Linked DNA regions of Arabidopsis thaliana. The protein of the gene in region 1 interacts with the protein of each later gene in a biochemical or structural test. Each region holds a gene or a part of one and is shown on either strand. Other genes may lie near its edges.

Evidence for each region. Proteins that work in one complex are often made in the same cells at the same time.
Region 2: the proteins of TIP2;2 (region 1) and TSPO form a complex in vitro, tested with the Arabidopsis thaliana proteins (one study listed by BioGRID).

The regions. Positions count from the first base shown.
Region 1 is NC_003075.7:9,695,704-9,702,710, reverse strand, and holds TIP2;2 (tonoplast intrinsic protein 2;2), read right to left. Parts: upstream 3,772-7,007; 5' UTR 3,394-3,771; coding exon 3,016-3,393; intron 2,836-3,015; coding exon 2,461-2,835; 3' UTR 2,239-2,460; downstream 1-2,238. Other genes in the region: AT4G17350 (auxin canalization protein (DUF828)), read right to left, coding at 1-147, 230-623, 830-1,129; G2484-1 protein, read left to right, coding at 5,539-7,007. UniProt on the Arabidopsis thaliana protein: Aquaporins facilitate the transport of water and small neutral solutes across cell membranes.
Region 2 is NC_003071.7:19,565,010-19,571,435, forward strand, and holds TSPO (TSPO(outer membrane tryptophan-rich sensory protein)-like protein), read left to right. Parts: upstream 1-3,454; 5' UTR 3,455-3,691; coding exon 3,692-4,282; 3' UTR 4,283-4,498; downstream 4,499-6,426. Other genes in the region: ALG3 (asparagine-linked glycosylation 3), read right to left, coding at 663-840, 928-984, 1,064-1,142, 1,215-1,324, 1,414-1,530, 1,626-1,714, 1,904-1,957, 2,053-2,119 and 5 more; AT2G47780 (Rubber elongation factor protein (REF)), read left to right, coding at 5,067-5,390, 5,472-5,855; AT2G47790 (Transducin/WD40 repeat-like superfamily protein), read right to left, coding at 6,093-6,426. UniProt on the Arabidopsis thaliana protein: Stress-induced membrane protein that can bind heme and may play a role in the transport of tetrapyrrole intermediates during salt stress and contribute to the detoxification of highly reactive porphyrins in the cytoplasm.

The sequences.
Region 1 (7,007 bases):
CAAATGGAAGATTTGGTTCTTCCAATCTATACTGAAAATTTGCATGCCAATGAGAATCAGAGAAACTTCTCTCAAAAGGGGTAATAGCTGCATTTTTCCTTGCTTCCTTTGGCTGCCTCGCCTTCAGAGCCGCTTCTCCTCTCAAAGCTAGTGTCAGTTTAAACAAAGTCAGATCAAATGCATATCAACGAAACTGAAAAAGCCTTGTGAAGCTGCAACAAAGCCTTACCAGTTGCAGCAGCGGCTGTTAGAGTCATGAGATCACCGGGGCTGTGGATATCCACAGAAGATCTAACCGTGGAAGTAACACGTGCATGGTCAGCACCGGCTCGCTCAGCCATCTCAACACAGTGTGAGGCCAACAGTTCAGTGGCTGAGGCTAAAGCCAGTGCCATCTTGGAGCCTGACCCTTTGCAATTGCTAGCAGATGTCACAGAGGCTAAACCTGCAGCCAGAGCCGCTATAGAGACGGCAGAATGCACGTGGGCGTTCTCCACACGCACTTTATCTTTCTTCTTGAGATTGGTAGTAGTACTGCTGGTGCTGTGTTCCTTGTTGTGGTGAAACCATTTAGACAATGTCCCTGCTCTACGTGTGCCAACAGAGTTCATGATCTTCCCAGCCTAGAATCAAAATCCCAAAGTTGTAAAATATGAAAAGAGTCCACTATTATTATCCATTCCAATTCCCAAGAACTATGTTAGGAACTGGTGCAATGGCAATCATATACAATTGAAAAGTCTCTGACTTTTAAGGCTCATCATAATTCTAAGAAATAGTTGGAAAAAGGGTTTCATTGGAATTTGGAAAAGGGATAAAAGGATCGTACCACGAGTGGATCTGCAGCAGCATCAGGGAACAAAACAGGAGGACTGTTCTGGCCAACACAAAACTGATCTTGTTGTTGTCTATGTTTGAGAGCAAGTGCTTTGGAGATTTCAGAAGTAGAGAGACTCCAGGATCTAGACAGAAACTCCATTGGCTCTTTAGGTGTCTGAGGTTGAGGAATCGATGAGAAAAGCTCTTCAGCTCTAAGAACTCCATCTTCCAACTCTTCCTCCATATTCTCTGATCCAAAGAACGAAGAAGAAGAAGTATCTTTCCAATCTGAATAAAAGCCACTTTCCATTTTCTCTCCTAAACGAATCTTCCGATGGAAAATGAAGTTTTCTTGAATATGGAAAGATGACGTGTGATCAGAAGATGGTATTTATTGTCCTGGTGGAACAAGAGTTATGTTCTGAACAAAACCATGTGATCAAAACAGAGAACCAGCTCTGAGTTTCAGAATTAAAACTTGAAAAAAATGAACTGTAAAACTGAGAAAAAGAAAAATATAAAGAAAATGATTTTAAAAGGAAAAAGCTTTTGAAGATGAAAAGGATGATGTTGACTCAGGTGGAAGAGAAGAGGAAGAGCATAAACCTAACTTATACAATAAGAGAATCTTTTTTCTTCTTTTTCTATGAGAAAAGAGAATTATTCAAACCACGAGTCCCAAAAGTACGTGCAGACTAATCAATAATATAGATTACAATAAAAATCTGGATAAGTGTTTAATTTACCGTAAGAGTCTTGCAAATTTTAAGAACTCGTCTCCATGTTCTTTATATAGGTGTGGAGAAAGAGAGGATAATGTTATGGTTAAGAACAATGTCCATGAATTCAGGTAATATCTTAATCTGGTGGGACGGTTTGTGAAACCACAAAGAGACGACAAAGGCATTGGTTTAAGAGCATTTTGTCTTTTGAGCGGACGGCTCTCACACGATTCATTCCCCCACAACCGACCAGCTTCCTTCAAATAATAAACCATACGTAAAGAGACCATTTCGTTTTTCTATTAATGTACTCTGTCGTTTCATCGTTTGGTTTGGTTTCACGGGATAACGAATTTTTAAAATGTCTTTCTAGCATTACTATTTGTATCACTTAAGTTGAGTACTCTTAAACGGTTGTTTAAACAATAGTAGTGTCTCCAGCCAATAAGACCAATTTGTGTATTAGCTTGAGTTTATGAATTTTAATTGGATTCTAATGGGCCCTTTTCAGTATTAGGCCTTGGATAAGGAAATATTGGCCTTTCCACAAAACAAAAAATTGAGCAATTTGGGATATCTTGAATCTATGGATTTTTTTGTCAACCTTTCAAGCATATATTTGAAAGATTCCCCAAAACATATTTTCTTATATACATGTGTGATGTGATTTTAATATCAAAAGGTTGGAAGTGTTTAATTGGACAGTTAAAACCGGTTATTTTTAGCCATTAACACATGCAAGAAAGTACAAGGCAGAGATATAAAATTTGAAAATATACAATTCTTATTTATAACCAACACAAAGTACAACTTTGATCTTTTTCTCCACATTCAATCATTCATTTTTGGAAGAAACGAGGACCAAACATTTTCATACAACAAAAAGCAAGCCAAGCAAATTAAAACGCTATAGGATTGATCAAGGGTAGCTTTCTGTGGTGGGAGCTGGAGCGTAGGATCCGATGAAGACGTCTCCGTAGATGAGTCCAGCAAGTGCACCACCGACTAGTGGACCCACCCAGTAGATCCATATCTGAGAGAAGTCACCACTGACAACAGCTGGTCCAAATGACCTGGCCGGGTTCATGGAACCACCGCTAAAGGGACCCGCTGCGAGGATGTTGGCACCAACGATGAAACCGATAGCAATTGGAGCAATGGTCCCGAGTGAACCTTTCTTTGGATCAGCCGCTGTGGCGTAGACTGTGTAGACCAGAGCAAAGGTCACCACAATCTCCATCACTACTCCTTCAATAGCTCCTAAACCGGCCGCTACTCCATGAGTCGGTACGCTCTGCATAACCGGGAAATAAACACATTCTCGGTTAATCCATATACCTTTTAAAATCAAACTGGATCTTAAGACCGGCATAACATTTTTTAGTCACGGTCGTTTGGACAAAACAGTCATAATCAGAAATAACACATGACTTAAATAAATAGTATTGAATAAATTACGAATGTTTTTGTGTACCTCGCCATTGGTAACGAAGACGAGGAGGAGACACGCGACGATGGAGCCAAGGCATTGAGCAATCCAGTAAAAGAAACCGGTTATTACTGTGATGTTGCCACCGACGGCGAGACCGAGTGTCACGGCGGGGTTAAGGTGTCCGCCGGAGATGTTGGCGGCTATGGAAACACCAACGAAAAGGGCAAAGGCGTGAGCCACAGCGACAGCGACAAGACCAGCGGGGTCCAAGGCTGCATCGGATGTGAGCTTGGCAAAAGCAAGAGCAGAGCCAACGCCAGCAAACACAAAGAGAAGAGTTGCGATAAATTCAGACAAGTAAGCCTTAAGAGATGCTACACTAAAGGAGTCACCCACACTTCCTATCTCAATCTTCACCATTTTGATCCGACAAAATAACTCTGTTTTTCGACTTTGGTTGATTACAAGTTATTTCTATTTGTGTGGTTTTGGGCATACTAATGCTTGACTTTATATATAGCAAAGAGCCAAACGAGGTAATGAAGTTGTTGGTCCCACTCTACGTGGCCTGTCACAATTGGATGCCGCCCAAACCGCCAATTATTTAGACTATTCATTTTCTTTTGAATTTTGAGGGTTAGTGACATCGAAGATGATTAAAGACAACCAATTGGTATAATGCTATGAAAATGATGGATAAGGTATTTCATAATATGTGAAGATAAGAGTGTTCTGTTGTCATGTTAATATCCTGCATTTAAACTAATGTTGTCTCACACCAATTATGATAGATGGTCGTATTCTTTTATATCTATATATATTTTTTTTGGTTACAATTTGTATTTTTTAGTTTGGGAGGTGCTAAACGCCTAAAATATTAATAGGGATTAGGAGTTAATTCATGTACCACCGCTGCTTTGTTTGGAGTTGGTGTGTAAGAGATATTGGCATATACATGTAATAAAATTGCAACAAACAGAAAACTTAAGATCTTAGAAAAGTGATCCAAAGTAGTGGTGACATTAAATAAAAATTTGCAGAGAGGATGGTTGTTTATAATACTTTCTCCGCCCCATGAATTTTAAAAGTAATATTTTTAGTATATGGTTTATGGATAGTTTTTTATTATCATGAATTTAATTTGCAGTATAGAACAACGAAGTGGAATGCTCAATCCTAGATTAAACCGATCCCTGACAAATGTTTTTCCACCCACTACCGCTTAAAAGTTGAAAATTATTCCATCCCAGTAAACTGATATTATGAACCAAACGTCCAAACTCAAATAATCGATCTGAAAATGAACTATATTTTTTTTAAAATTATGAATTCATTTTTCCTATTCAAAATATTGAATTCGAATCCAAACTAAACAAACAGAAAGAAAAACCTGATTTTAAATCCAATTTTGTTTTCAAGTTAAATAAACATTTGATTAAAACTTGAAGTCGAACCAATACCAATACGAAACCGTACCAAACCATCTATGGTACAAATACTATCATTCATAAACCAAAATACCAAAAAAACCTAACAGAAAAAAATTATAAAGTGGGCCTAAGCCCATATAAATATCCCAATGGATTCCTTTTGATCTGATGGTCCAAAAGTCCAATCCGTCAATTGCCTAACACACAAAAGCCTCTATCTATTAGTTAGTGAGTGACATGTCTCTTCTCTAATTTTATCCTTAAGACACTTTCCATTTTGTTTAGCCAACCAATCATCTTCATTACACTAATCAGTAGTCAATAGTCATTTCAACAATAAATCTTCTAACTTTTACCACAGTCACGTCAAACAAAAGTTGTTTTCTTTTACCTCTTGGTCATTTAATTTTCTTTTAACGGAACTCTAGCCAGTAAATTACACTAAATTTTAACGTACGTTAATTTAAAAGTAAAAAACCTTTCGCGTCTTTTTGTTTAAGTTCAATATTAGCCACACGATCCAGAAAATTCGACACGTGTCACTATGGATTAAGCGGCATCAGTATCCATCTTTATTTTCTCTCCAAATATTTATTTAATTTTGGGCTTTACTTAAACCAGACTCATTTCATTTGCCGAGGAAAGCGAATATAATTTATCGGGCATTTCTCTCCCAATCTGCTTCACTCGCCAAACCTCGTTTCTTCGCCGGAACCCTAGGTCACCTCCGTCAGTTTGAATTTTCCGGTGAGTTTAACTTCTTCGCTAGCGTTTCAATTTATCATTTTAAGAAAGTTCACTCTTTTAGGTTTTCGTGTGCCCTTGAATTTTGAGAAGGAAGAGATTTTATAATTGACGCGTATGGTTTTGTTGTTGGTGGAGCAGTAGTAGATGAACGTGCGATTAGGTAACAGTTGAGGTCTGACGGCCAGGTTTTCTTGTCACCGAATGGAGGGAGGTAGCGTCTCCATACACTCTTGTGTCGGTACTTTTCGCTTTCCTACTGTTTTACTCCACTCGACAAGAAAATGACCAGAGTCGCTTCTTTAAATATGTTTCACGGTTGTTGTGTTATGCTTTTGTTTCTTTTGGTTGTTTGATGTTTATATATGTCTCTGATTTCAGGAATAAACTCATGGATTATGATGACAGTGACTTTCAAAACCAGAATCTCCATTTAGCTGGTGAAGCCAACAACAAATTTCCACCAGTTTTACAGCCTTATGCTCTTCCAAAGTTTGATTTTGATGATACACTCAACACGCATCTGAGGTTTGATAGTTTAGGTGAATCTGAAGCTTTTCTTGGTATTGAGGGTAACGAAGATAATAACTGGATTGAGGATTTCTCTCGTGGAAGTAGTGGTATAGTGTTTAGTTCAGGTGCAACGGAGTCCTGTGCCATTTCTAGGCACAATAATGTTTGGTCTGAGGCTACTTCGTCGGAATCTGTTGCAATGCTTTTGAATTCAGTTGGACAGGACGAAGTTATTGTAAGAGAGGATACTATCAAGAAATCTGACACTTCTCATGAACTAGGCTGCACAATGGAAACAGTAGAGCCTGGTCAGACATCCCATGAAAGAAGTCTTTCCAAAGAGGAAACGGTGAACTTACAACCCAACCCCTCTGTGGATGATACTCCAGGAGAGTCCTCTGTGGTAAAGACAGATGATGGACAGGAGCAGGTTCTGGTTAAAGATGACTCACCAACGGCTGTAGAAGAGGCATCTGTGGAGGAAAAGAATTCCATCTTGACTTCTAATACCGCGACGGTAGAGGCTATAGATACTACTGATCTTGGTAAAATAGGAACTGAGACGACGGATAATCTTCTTGACCAAACAGAAGAGAAAGCCAATGTAGAATCAAGGATGGAAGATGATTGTAGCGATGGGAATGTACAGACTATTATTACTTGTAGCGGTGAGTTGAATAATCAGAGCACTTTACTTCCAGAGACTTCCAATGATGAAAATGTTATCAGCGACCACATTCAAAGTAGTTATAACCGCAATGATCTAACTGCAGATGCACGGTCAATTTTGGTTGAAGGTCATTCTGATAGCCATATAGACTCAGCTTCCGAAGTTGAAAAAGTGGAAGCTGAAAATATTGGCAAAACTGCAAAGCCTGATTTGAAGGAGATAGAGCTATCTGATGTCACAGTACTAGAAAGAGGGGACCAAGCTCCCTCTACTCTTGAGGTAGGTGGACAAGATGTTTCTGGGACCGAATGCCAAGATCTCCTTGTCAGCACTGTTCATACTAGCGTAGCTGTTGAAGCGTCTTTGGAACTTGCTGGGGAATTGACAACTATAACAAACAGTGTTTCCATTGAGAAGCCCGAGTTGCTTAGTCATCAACATATGGAAGTTATTACAAGTGAACATGAGTCTACTTTTCAGATAGAGACTGAGACATATCCGCAGATACACGTATTTGAAACTTCAGAGAGTGTTTATATTTCAACGATGGACTCAATGGTTGAAGCTAGAGAAGGTGGTGTGTCTAAGAAGAGTGACAATGAAGGTAGTGCTCGCACTTCTAATCTCGAGCAAAGCATGGAACTGCCTGTCAATGCCAATGATAGAGATCAAGATGT
Region 2 (6,426 bases), on another chromosome or scaffold:
TTTGGAGATCTTTCTATGGTCTGTTTTAATTCGCTTCATCTAGATTCAGCTTGATCCAATCCACGCCCATATCGGTTATGACTTGCCTTGATCAATGATCATAGAGTAGCTATGTTCTATGCTACATGATCAAGTTCAATGCCAAAGAAGTTACTAAAAGAATAAAAACAAAAAGAAAGAAATTACCATGGATTCAACACAATAAGACAACAACAGTGAAAAGTCTAATACACAAGTTAGCATATTTGCTGAGGAAGATTTTGCACTTGCAAGGACAGATTATTACGCAAGAGGCACATATTCTACACCAAGTCAAATCAAGGAAAAGCTAAGAACCCAGTTTAATAGCATTACGACTATAAACTACGAAATTTAAAATTCTCATTTTTTAGTTTCTTCTCTTTCTTTTAGTACAGGAAGATTCCCAATGCCGTTGAAAAACAAATACCTTGTGTCTAATTCTAAAGCATTTCGTACTAAAATAATTGTTAGAATTTAATGACCAAAATCATTAACACATGTAATTGCCGCCAAATTACAAATTTTTTTATTATAAATCACCATGTTTACAAAACACATATAGTTAAGTTAACCGTTACTTTCTTTAGCTTATCTCTAAGTCTTGGAAACAAGAAGAAAAAAAAGAGCATCAAAAGGTTCAGTTATGCTTTTTTGTGTATTTGGGATTTAGGGTGTTCTTTGAGCTGATAAGGATCGACTGAAGGAGCTAACCAGAGACCCACCAGAATGATCAAGTGTAGACACAATAGCAAACCCGAGGAGGACGGTGTTGATGGATAAACATTCCAACAGAGCTCAATGCCGAGGAACATGATCAAGCTTTTACAGCCAAAAGAAAAACAAGAAGACGAGTTAGGTTTTGATATTTTAACTGTTGTTACAGTAAGAAATGCAGAAATAACTTACCGCAGCCAAGTGGGAAACGGTGTTCTCCATAGTAGATAAGGTAGCGAATAGAAGTACCTGTTATGATCATATGAGTATTGGGGTTGAGGCTAAGAATGTTCGAGAAACGTAAGATTTAGCCAGGTTATTTGGTTACCATGAGTAGAACTGGTAGTGCAGAGAGCGAGCAAATACAATGCCGATGAAATTCCCAACAAACATGGCCGTGACGACATCTGCGAATCAAGTGGAATGCCTGTAAGTATGGACATAGGGAAACATAAGCTAAAATAACAGTAAGAGCTTACGTTCTTTCGTAATAATCCGTGAGGCTGATACATCACTGAACGAGAGTGAAGACGGAAGTGTCAAGAAGAAATGCCTAGAACGCATGAAGCCTATAATCCCGCCTTCATGCCTATAAAATCAACATATTAATTACAACTAATGCTAAACACACAAACTGCAACTGCTTTCAAATTGCAGCTGCCTTATGATTGTACGTACTTGCACCACTTATAATTTGCGAACGCCACAAGGAGAAAAAGGTGAGCAATGAGCAAGCATACTGCAAATTCTTTGGACACAAAAACTCGTTCTGGAACAAATTTGAAGTTAACAGACCTGTTGAGAGCTCAAACTAGAGTTAGAGGTCAAAAGACATTTTTAGATCCCATCAACATGTTTTTTAGATTTGGCGGGAGAGAAGCGAACAATACCAGAAATGAATGAAAACACGTCCAAGATCAAAGGCGTTTGCTATGTATGAAACCGGATATGTTATCAGAAACGGCAGTCCCACGAGTATCTGTATAACCATTCATTGACCAGCTGAATGGTACTTCTTGCATAATCAAAACTATAATTCGCTGGATAATGCAACTCACCTATTTACATTGAAGAAACTACAGTTAACAAGTTTCCAAATTGTCTTGGAGAAACAATGCTACGCATACAAATTGGTGAATAAGAAGGCTTATAAGAGATATAGTGAAACCTGAACAAGAGCTGCACCAGCCAAAGCAGACACCACTCCAATGATATTCATGGCCTGTGAATAGTAAAACTTCACATATGAAGAAAAACAATGCTAGAAGAATAATAAAGCAAATCCATAAACTAATTCTCTTCCACGAACATATATACCTTAAGTAGCAGAAGTAACAAAGTTGGAGCATACAAAAGTACATTCATCTTTACAGAAACAGCTCCACTGTATAAAAAGAAGGGTAAGCAGACTAGTCAATCTAAAGAATCGAGAAGCAAAAGCAGCAATCTAACCTGAAAACAAGCATCCCTAGATGCCATTTACGATAGAGAAAGAGAGCCATTGATGCATGTAGGAGAGTCATGGCAAAACAATCATTAAAGAGACGGAGAACAAAGATTGAATGTATCCTCTTGGATAAACATAGTAGACTTAATGCCCACCATGGCACCTGAAATACGTAAGGATACAAGAAGAGATATCATCACTGAATTCACTAAAATCACTCCCATCATAAACAGACAAATCAAAACCAAAATATTGTTCATTAACATCGTAAATGGACAACGCTTGACAACGTCTACAAATACTTGATGAAAAGAGATAAGAAATAAGTCTTCATTTATACCACATCAGTCTTCACGTAGATGATCAAGACGATCCCCAGATTGACAATGTAGAGAACACCAAAAAGAATCTGCAAAATGTAAGAGAGTAGAATTGAGACAAATGAAGCGATGGATGGATCAAATTCCGCAGCTAATCCAAAGATAGGAGATTCAAAGAGAGGGAATTGCAAGCACCTGAGCAGGGTAGACTTCCCCTCCAGTTAAGTTCTGCACTGCAGAGTAAACATAGAGGAAACCTGCTGGATAAACCAATGGCCCTGTATCGCCTTTCAAGTTCCCATAGTCTCTCTCTCCCCCGAGAAACCCACTAACCTGCCCCAATTAGATAAATTTCACTTAAAGACTACTAGTTTACTTTGAAGAAACCACAGTTGACCATTGACACTTACCTGTGACATGTAAGCATCCCAATCGATCTTCGTGTCTGTTAAAGGCAAATGACGAAATTTGGTTTAAAACCTATGCAAATGCACATTTCGAGGGATACGCAAGCAAAAAAAAAAAGGAGGTAAATAGCTCTCACATGGAACATAGGCGATAATAAGTGCGACTAGGATTGCATCAGCAAGAATTAGCGCGAATGCGAATGGAACTGCAGGTTTTTTGAATAGATCGGATCGATTCGTCTCCTTCCCCAGCCGACGGCTACGAGAAGCTCTCAAACTCGCCGGTGATGAGGCGCCCGCCATGAAAACAGAGCAAATCGCATCAGCGTCTAGCCAACGCCGCGTAACAGACAACTACTTCCATATTACTACTCTTCTAATTAGCCCAAATTAAATGAGCCTATTGGGCTTCTTGTCTTAGTCGGTGTAGAGCCCAATTGTTGTTTTATTTTTTAATAATGCAAAAGTATTAAGCGATAAATAAATAAGCATCGCAATCGTCCCAAAACTGTGTGTATGCATCAGACATGAGCATATAGAGTAAGCACGTGTCCACACTTTTTCACAAAGTTATCTAAAAACAAAAAACAATTAATTAGCATTCGACGTGTACATATCACTCGCCACGTGTACAAGAGCCTTGGCCTTTTTGCTTCTTCTTCTTGTCTATTAATATCATCTCCTGATTATACTCTCTTTTGACCAAGCTGCTTCTTCTCCATCTATCCAACATCTCAAATCTCAGTAATCTTGTTCCTTCGATTCTGTTTTGGACGTTTGTAATGGATTCTCAGGACATCAGATACCGCGGCGGAGACGACAGAGACGCTGCAACGACGGCTATGGCCGAGACAGAGAGGAAAAGCGCTGACGACAACAAAGGAAAACGCGATCAAAAGAGGGCGATGGCGAAACGTGGTCTCAAGTCTCTGACGGTAGCGGTTGCGGCTCCTGTGCTCGTGACGCTCTTCGCTACGTATTTCCTCGGCACAAGCGACGGATACGGGAATCGAGCTAAGTCCTCGTCGTGGATCCCACCTCTGTGGCTCCTACACACAACGTGTCTCGCTTCTAGTGGTCTGATGGGTTTGGCTGCGTGGCTTGTATGGGTTGACGGTGGCTTCCACAAGAAGCCCAATGCTCTGTATCTTTACTTAGCTCAGTTTTTGCTCTGTTTGGTTTGGGATCCGGTTACGTTCCGCGTCGGGTCGGGAGTAGCGGGGCTTGCGGTGTGGTTGGGTCAATCGGCTGCGTTATTCGGATGCTACAAGGCCTTTAATGAGATAAGTCCGGTCGCTGGTAATCTGGTAAAGCCGTGTTTGGCTTGGGCTGCCTTTGTAGCCGCTGTTAATGTAAAGCTTGCAGTCGCGTGAGATCTGTAAACGCTATACGATGATGTTTGTAGAGTCTGAGTCATATGAGTGTTTCTTGTTGTTTTTGTTTTTTGTGATATATACCATAAAAGATGTCTTTGCGATCCAATGGTCTGGTCATTGTGGAGTAATAGACATGAACATGATATACTTGAGAAATAATGTGATATTGTAGAAGTTTTAAGCGTTGGTCTGAAATCAAACTGTGAGATTCTTAAAAGGCGATCGTTTTACTTTTATGTCGCCGAAACGGAACAAATTCAAACGGTAAAGCCAACTATACTTTGATCAGTTTTGGGTTGGGCCGTTGACACTGTTTTGTGGGCTTCTCAGTCAGTGGTAAACCTAAAATTAATATAGGAACTCGAGGATTAGGGCCCAATCCATTTTAACACGTGATGATATCATGTAAGGTTTGGAGGGAATATACAAAAAGTGGATGAATGATAGCGAACGAGAGGTCCTTGTGCTTTTTTGATTTACCCTCGAGACTCGTGCCGACGGAGTGGCCGTGGCTTTCGTGCAACAGTCTCGACCCATACCTCGACACGTGTTGAAAACGGTCCATTAAGAGTAAGACATCTGTCAATAGGACAGCTGTCCTAGAGGTCACTCGTCTCTCACAATCCAATCCCTTTCGCTTAAATTAAAACTAAAATGGAGCATGGCAGCAACATGCCACGTGGCTCACCAGTTTCAAATCTGAGCCGTCCGGTGTGATATAAGTCTTTTTAAAGAGAGAGAGAGCGGTTCGTTTGTCTGCAACGGCACCAAGTCTTTGACAATGGCTGAAGATGAAATAGTAGTCGAAGAAGAGCAATCACAGCCACAGGAGATTACTCCAGTTCCACCATCTTCTTCGTCTTCGCCTTCGTTAGTGGTGGAAGACGACGATGAGATGAAGCTCAAGCACTTGGAATTCATTCAAGTCGCGGCGGTTTACTTCGCCGCCTGTTTCTCGACCCTCTACGAGTTGGCTAAAGACAACGCTGGTCCACTCAAACTCGGCGTCGAGAACATTGAAGATTGCGTTCGAACCGTGCTTGCTCCATTATACGAAAAATTCCACGACGTTCCTTTCAAGCTTCTCCTTTTCGTCGATCGTAAGGTAACAATCAGAATGTAATTCTTAACTTGAATATCGCTTCGGTTTCATGAGTGAGAGGCAAATGATTTGCTTGGTTTTCAGGTGGACGATGTGTTCTTCGATGTTGAGACATATGTTCCGTCATTGGTGAAGCAAGCTTCTAGCCAAGCGCTCACGGTGGCCACGGAGGTGCAGCGCACCGGCGTTGTGGACACTACCAAGAGCATTGCAAGAAGCGTCCGGGACAAGTACGAGCCAGCGGCAGAGTATTACGCAGCGACGCTGTGGCGTTTACTGAATCAACTGCCGTTGTTCCCTGAAGTTGCGCATTTAGTGATCCCCACGGCGTTTTACTGGTCAGAGAAGTACAACGATGCGGTTCGTTACGTTGGCGACAGAGACTACTTTGGGGCAGAGTATCTACCCATGATTCCTATTGAGAAGATCTCTGATATTTTGGAACAAGATCAGTGTCGAGCTGATTGACTATTTACTCTTCTGAAGCCAAAGATTCCTTCTTCTATAGAGTATATATACTGTATGTACTCTGTTTTTCTTTCCTTTCTGCAATTTGCTATCCCAAGAGATGTAATCTTTCTTCAATATTTCATTTAAACAACTTTGCCTTTTAATAATAACAAGAACAAGAGACATAAAGGAAACTGTCCTCTTCAGTCTCAACTTTTATAAAAGACACAAGACCCAAAAAGTAGTATCTGTTTACTAGTAAGGAGAGTGTCTGTTTTTCTTGCGGTTCCTTGGCGGCTTAACAACCAACTCACTTGAAGTCCAAGACCGGTTAATCTCGGTAGCATCCTCATCCGACTTCCAGCAACATAGTCGCCCATCTTCACCCCCAGTCCATCCAAATAACCCTGCAGCTCCTCCATACTCGCCTGGCATCTGCAGAACGCTCCTTACTACATCTATGTGACCTCCACCAAGAATAGCTTCAGCGGTACCGATTGATCCAGGCTGTTTGTAGTTCACCGGAAAATAACCAACGGTTCCTGCGCACGTTCCACCGATCACCCATAAATCTTCACCTCCTGGACAA